2 linked regions of the Danio rerio genome follow. The protein of the gene in region 1 interacts with the protein of each later gene in a biochemical or structural test. Links are inferred from orthologs where the notes say so. Each region holds a gene or a part of one and is shown in the gene's direction. Other genes may lie near its edges.

Region 1 (3,756 bases):
CCGCTCCGTCAAGCCCCAGATTCTGTCTGTGTTTGGAGACATCGCTCTCGCCATTGGAGGAGAATTCAAGAAGTACCTGGACATTGTGCTGGACACTCTGCAGCAGGCCTCGCAGGCACAGGTGGACAAGGTGAGCAGATGAACACACACACACACACACGGCGCTCAGTGTTTGACGATTGTTGTTGAACTTCTGTCTATTATCATCTGTGGTGCTGTGATGTCCTTCAGTCGTGTAGAGCAGACGTTCAGCGCTGCTCTGGGCTATCACTGATCTTAAACAGTTCAATGAGAAGATCTCCAGACCTGACCGCTGACAGCACACACACTGTCTGTCTGTTACACGAGCTGAGCTGTGTGTGTGTGTGTGTGTGTGTGTGTGTGTGTGTGTGTCTGCAGACGGACTATGATATGGTGGATTACCTGAACGAGCTGCGTGAGGGCTGTCTGGAGGCCTACACCGGCATCATCCAGGGCCTGAAGGGGGACCAGGAGAATGTGCACCGTAAGTGAACACACACACACACACACACACACTTCAGCATTGCATGGCGTGTGCGTAATGTGTGTGTTCTCCTGCGCAGCCGATGTGATGCTGGTTCAGCCGCGTGTGGAGTTCATCTTGTCCTTCATTCACCACATCGCAGAGGACGAGGACCGATCTGACGGAGTCGTGGCTAATGCTGTAGGGCTCATCGGGTGAGGCACATACACACACACACACACACACACACACACACACACACACTCGTACAGACAGACATTGTGCAGTAGTCTGACCCCTGTGTGTGTGTGTGTGTGTCAGGGACCTGTGCACCACCTTCGGGAAGGATGTGATGAAGCTGGTGGAGGTGCGTCCTCAGATCAATGACCTGCTGACTGAAGGCCGGAGATCCAAAACCAGCAAAACCAAGACTCTGGCCACGTGGGCCGCCAAGGAGCTGCGCAAGCTGAAGAGCCAAGCCTGGTGCGTGACCTCTGACCCCACAAACCTGCCTGTGTGTGTGTGTGTGTGTGTGTGTGTGTGTGTGTGTGTGTGTGTGTTAAAGCTGTTCACTCCAGTCTGAGGAGCACAGAGAGTGTGTGTTTCTCTGGCCCTCACTCTGCGAGTGTGTGACGTGTTGTTCTCCTGTGTGTGTGTGTGTGTGTGTGTGTGTGTTTCTCTGGCCCTCACTCTGCGAGTGTGTGACATGTTGTTCTCCTGTGTGTGTGTGTGTGTGTGTGTGTGTGTGTGTGTGTGTGTGTGTGTGTGTTCCTCTGCCCCCCACTCAGCATGTGTGTGACGTGTTGTTCTCCTCTGTGTGTGTGTGTGTGTGTGTGTGTGTGTGTTCCTCTGCCCCTCACTCAGCGTGTGTGTGACGTGTTGTTCTCCTCTGTGTGTGTGTGTGTGTGTGTGTGTGTTCCTCTGCCCCTCACTCAGCGTGTGTGTGACGTGTTGTTCTCCTGTGTGTGTGTGTGACGTGTTGTTCTCCTGTGTGTGTGTGTTCCTCTGGCCCTCAGTCAGCGTGTGTGTGTGACGTGTTGTTCTGTGTGTGTGTGTGTGTGTGTGTGTGTGTGTGTGTGTGTGTGTGTTCCTCTGCCCCCCACTCAGCATGTGTGTGACGTGTTGTTCTCCTCTGTGTGTGTGTGTGTGTGTGTGTGTGTGTGTGTGTGTGTGTGTTCCTCTGCCCCTCACTCAGCGTGTGTGTGACGTGTTGTTCTCCTGTGTGTGTGTGTGACGTGTTGTTCTCCTGTGTGTGTGTGTGTGTTCCTCTGGCCCTCAGTCAGCGTGTGTGTGACGTGTTGTTCTCCTGTGTGTGTGTGTGTGTTCCTCTCAGCGTGTGTGTGTGACGTGTTGTTCTCCTGTGTGTGTGTGTGTGTGTGTGTGTGTGTGTGTGTGTGTGTGTGACGTGTTGTTCTCCTGTGTGTGTGTGTGTGTGTGACGTGTTGTTCTCCTGTGTGTGTGTGTGTGTGTTCCTCAGCGTGTGTGTGACGTGTTGTTCTCCTGTGTGTGTGTGTGTGTGTGTGTGTGTGTGTGTGTGTGTGTGTGTGTGTGTGACGTGTTGTTCTCCTGTGTGTGTGTGTGTGTGTTCCTCTCAGCGTGTGTGTGACGTGTTGTTCTCCTGTGTGTGTGTGTGTGTGTGTGTGTGTGTGTGTGTGTGTGTGTGTGTGTGTGTGTGTGTGTGTGTGACGTGTTGTTCTCCTGTGTGTGTGTGTGTGTGTTCCTCTCAGCGTGTGTGTGACGTGTTGTTCTCCTGTGTGTGTGTGACGTGTTGTTCTCCTGTGTGCGCAGATCTCCGGCTGTGGAGTTTCTTCTTCTTCTTCTACCAGGACAAATGGAAATGAAAGCCCTGCGGTTCTTCTGTCTTTTAGAGCTGTGGACAGAAGTGCTTGTGCGCTGATGAGTGTGTGTGCGAGTGTGAGAGCGAGTGTAAGAGCGAGAGATTGACACACACCTTCAGTCCAGCTCCAGCAGAGGAACAGCGGCACACACCTCCACCTTCTCCACCTGCCCGCGTTCTCCATCCTGACCCGATCCTCCCCCCGGCCCGATCAGCTGCAGGACTGACCGTCACACACTGATTAGCAGACGGCGGCCGCGGGAACCTGCTGCTGGAGCCATGATGGCGTGACTGGAGTGTGTGTGTGTGAGTGAGCGAGGGCGGCGCTGTTTCCGCGTCGTCTCTCAATATTTCAACCAATAATAAATAAAGGTGATCAATATCTTGTTTGCGATTGAGTGAGCTGCTCTTGCGTTCCCTCGGCGAGCGGCAGTGGAGGCGTCCGGCCTCTCGTCACGGCTGCGCTACATTACTGGCCTCCTCCTCCTCCTCCTCCTCCTCTGTGTTTCTTTAATAATAGTGCTGATTGAGTAATGGTTCTCTTACCGGTGTGTGTTAGTATGGATGTGCGGATCGGAGCTTCACCTGCCCTGCCTAGGGAAGACTATTGCCACTACAGGCGCAGGCTCCGGCGGAGCGACGGGATATTAGACACCTCCACACGCGACTTTATTCTCCTTTATTTGTTTTGCAGGAAACTGAGTGCCAAACCCAGCGGTGCAGATGGACTTGAGCTTAATGTGTTACTCGTAGAAGATGCGAATTAATAATACACACGTCAGCGGCGGCGAGCCGAGCAGCATCCATGTGCTTTTGGTTGTAATTTTTTGTTTTGTTTTCCTCTTGCGGCACTTAATTGGAGTCATTCACCGAGCTTTTAAGAAGACGACGACGGACAGAATCAGACATTTGTATGAGGTTATATTTTTCCATTGATATGAAAATAAAGTTAAATTAAATCTTTCTGCTGTGTGTGTGTGTGTGTTGTGTCTTCAATAATGGCACATAAATGAGCAGCACACGTCCACAAGACCAGTTCAGGAAAATAATTTAATAATAAATACATTTAAATAGAACATTACAGCGCACCCACAGGGCACAACATGTGTTAAACACACAACATGTGTCGGTCAACATGTGTTAAACACAACATGTGTCGGCTACCAAAATAACAAATGTTCAAAACAATAAATATTAAATATATAAATATGTAGCGAAAGTCATGGTGTGTGTGTATGTGCGTGCAGTTAGCATTGAGACACACTGATGCAGCGCAGGCTGCGGAACACGTCCTGCATGAAGCTGCGCAGCTGCCGGAGTGTCGCGCGCACACGCACCTGCAGCTTGAACTGGCTGAGTGGAGCCGAGAGAGTGTGTGTGTGCGGCAACACCTGAGGACCAGCAGAGGGCACCTGGAGGAGGAGCTGCAGAACAC
Region 2 (3,656 bases), on another chromosome or scaffold:
CCCTCCACCACCCATGGAAACAGTACAAGAGGTGAGCAAAGTGTGTGACCCCTGTTTGTGCATTTCTGACTCGTTCGTGTTGGTAAAAAACGATCCTTACGTCATCCAGTTGAAGATTTTGTAAACGAATTGAATAACTTGCAATACTACAGTAAAAATACTGTAATTTGATTGGCTAAACTGATCCCTTTAGCTGTTTTTTGACTGAATGATGTGTATGAGGCACTTTATAAACTGGTAATTAATTCATTACGCCACCGTTTTCAAAATTTCAACAGATATTATGCATTTCTTTTGCCTTTCAGTTTCGTCCGCAGTAATCTGTCTGTGTGTGTTTTTAGCATCTATTCAGTCAGATATAATGCTGTGTATGCTGCGTGCCAATATTTAATATTGTGCTCATTTCTCTTTTCTGCTATCTGTAATCTGGAGGTGTCGCTTTGAGCTGAAGGGAACATATTGTACCTCCTGCTGCTATGAAATCATTAGACTGTGTTTTCACTCTCTCTGTGTGTGTGATATAGCAACTGCTTCATTGATGGCAGGTCTAATGAATATTCTGTTGCGCTACAGCTGATTTCATGTTTACATGCGGTCTGCTTATTCAGTTTCAACTAAAAGATGTCTGTTTTTCTCACTCAGATTCTTCCTGCCCTCTGTGTACTCATATATCATACAGATATAAATGTAAGTACATGTCGCACTACTTCTTCCAAACAAAAAAGTGCTACTTTTAATTGGATAGTGCAGTAAATGTGGTTTAAGTGTCTAGCTCACCCAAAAGTGAAAATTCTACCATTATTTGCTCGCCATTCACTTGTTCAAAACCTATTTGGGTCACTTCTGTTGAGCACAAAATAAGATATTTTGAAGAATGCTGGTTGACTTTGTGCAGAAAGAAAGTTTAGAAGGGCTTTATTTTGCAAAAATGATTAGCTGACTAGATTAGCTTGGTTATTAAATGACTGCTTGCCGTACATATCAAAACAAATTTCATTTTGGATTAAAGAGCCCCTGTTTAGCATTGTAAAAGGTCATGTTTTGGTTTTGGGGGTCTCCAACAGCAGTCTGATATGCAATCTATATATAAAAATACTTTTATTAAAATATGCATTTATTTTGACCCAGTTATCCCAATGACTCCCATATGATTCGTTCAGCGATTCATTTGCTCTCAAACCCCTCCTTGGGATGAAGCTAATCTGCGCTGATTGGTCTAGTCTGTTGTGGTTGTTTTGTGATCTCGTGCATTCGGCAGGAGATGGAGAGAAGCGTCCAAGTAGTAGTCAGAGCACAGAATATATGTGTGAGCCCAATGCAGGAATGCATTAAAGCCATGCAGTTAAATATCAGCATATTACTCTGTTCTTAACCACAGCCCCAAGTAGAAACAATTCAGTACAGACACACTTTCAGTATTAATCTACACAGTGGCAAAAGTTGAACTATTTTGAAAATTGACTGCGTGTATGAAGAACAGCTGATTGTGGCCATAGCAACTATATATATATATATATATATATATATATATATATATATATATATATATATATATATATATATATATATATATATATATATATATAAAAATAAATAAATATGAAATTAAAAAAATTGTGTAATTTTGGACCCGGACATTATTGGAGTAGTTTTAGGTGCCAAATGTGTATTTGAAAAATGATCTATTGTCTTATTTTAGTGTTGCAAACGTTGTAAACTAAACATACATTTTCCTTTAGGCTAAACTTTTCCTAATATCTCACAAGTTTGTTGATAATTGTGCAGCATGATCACTTCATTTAATCTGAAGTTTATGCAAATGAAAACAGTCTGCGTTTCTCATTTAACGTCCTCAAATCTGCTGTTCTCTGCAGATTCTGGTAGACACAGTGTGGGCTCTGTCGTATCTGACAGATGGAGGTAACGAGCAGATTCAGATGGTAATAGACTCAGGTGTTGTCCCGTACCTTGTCCCACTGCTCAGCCACCAAGAGGTCAAAGTTCAGGTAAAAACACATGCACATTTATGAATCTCTGTACACTCTAAAACCAAAAGCTGGCTTCTAATGTTGTTCATGTATTGTCCGCTCAGACTGCAGCGCTGAGAGCGGTGGGGAACATTGTAACCGGGACAGACGAGCAGACTCAGGTGGTGCTCAACTGTGATGTTCTTACTCACTTTTCCACCCTGCTCACACACCCCAAAGAGAAAATCAACAAGGTGAGACACAGAAACACACATCACATCTGAGCCTATTTGTGTGAGGTTTACTCAAGATGATGAATCACAATTGCTTTACTTGGCTAATTTCATAAGTGACTCTAGAAATCTCTGCAGTCCCAGTTTAAACGCAGTGCCTTGTGTTTATTGTACATCTGTGATGCGTCTGCAGGAGGCGGTGTGGTTCCTGTCTAATATAACAGCAGGAAACCAGCAGCAGGTGCAGGCTGTAATAGATGCTGGTCTCATACCCATGATCATTCACCAGCTTGCCAAGGTAAGATGACTAGCACTTGGGCTACTGTACATTGAGTTAGTTTATATATATATATATATATATATATATATATATATATATATATATATATATATATATATAAAGCAGATTTAGAAACCTTTTTTGATGTTCAGTTCTGAAAACTGAATTAAATGGATGTGTAATACATCCTTCATACTAATTCTAGCTTGACTTAGGGCTGCATCATTTGGAGATAAAAATCCAGTTGCAATTTATCTGATCAACATTGCGATTTGTGATTTAAAATGTAATGTACTATCATTTCATAAGAGCTGCAGGTTTGATGTGGTGGTTTTAACAGCACCAAAGAAAGACTAGGCATAATCACGCTACACTATAGTGTAGCGTACTATAAGTAGGCTACACTATGCTTCTGTTTATTAAAACCATTTTTCACAATAAAGTTGTCAGTTGTCATGACAAATTCAGAAAATAGCTACAGTATTTTACATTCAATTTGATAAAGTGTATATAAAACTTTTACTTTTAGATTGATGCATTAGAATATTATAAATTACATGAAATCCAACCTGAACTCTCTCATAGAATTTTAAGACATTTTTAGACTAGATTTAATCAAGTGGTTATTACCAGATGTCGTATTGGGCATACGAGAATAAACTATGTTTTTTTGCCCCAAGGTGAAAACCCTACTCAGTCTTTGTGCTGCACAACTCCTCATTTTACTGGACTGTCCTGTTTTTAATGATTCCAGAAGAATTTTTTATGAAATAAACTCTCTTTAGGACATTTTTAGCAGTGACACCAGAAAAGATTTTAGAATTATTATCATGTATTAGTACTAAAAATCTTATTTAATTTATGTATTCATTTGTTTGTTTATTTTTAATTGTATATTTATTATTGAAATGTTCCTGCCATGAAAATAGCCGTGGGTGCTGACATGGCATTAAATAAAAACACATTACATTACTTTTAGATTGCAGTACATTCTTCATATAGATTTCATTACATTCACAGTGCACTTACAATGCTTTACATGCACAATTTTAGATTTTATTTCACAGCACAATAATTATTATATTTAAATCTCATAATAATTCATAAATATATTTATATATTTAACAATTTTGTCCTTTAATACAAGCAGTCAGATATGTGAACTGTACCCTTAAT

What was found. The genes of interacting proteins can lie anywhere in the genome.
Region 2: the proteins of kpnb1 (region 1) and kpna3 form a complex in vitro, tested with the Homo sapiens proteins (2 studies listed by BioGRID and IntAct, with this or other methods). The link is inferred for Danio rerio from reciprocal best matches to the Homo sapiens genes KPNB1 and KPNA3.

The regions. Positions count from the first base shown.
Region 1 is NC_133194.1:51,609,696-51,613,451, forward strand, and holds the end of kpnb1 (importin subunit beta-1), read left to right. Parts: coding exon 1-130; intron 131-399; coding exon 400-505; intron 506-584; coding exon 585-699; intron 700-805; coding exon 806-967; intron 968-2,272; coding exon 2,273-2,273; 3' UTR 2,274-3,285; downstream 3,286-3,756. Other genes in the region: csf3b (colony stimulating factor 3 (granulocyte) b precursor), read right to left, coding at 3,569-3,745.
Region 2 is NC_133176.1:49,979,255-49,982,910, reverse strand, and holds part of kpna3 (importin subunit alpha-4), read left to right. Parts: coding exon 1-31; intron 32-642; coding exon 643-687; intron 688-1,874; coding exon 1,875-2,006; intron 2,007-2,092; coding exon 2,093-2,221; intron 2,222-2,393; coding exon 2,394-2,498; intron 2,499-3,656. UniProt on the Homo sapiens protein: Functions in nuclear protein import as an adapter protein for nuclear receptor KPNB1. Binds specifically and directly to substrates containing either a simple or bipartite NLS motif.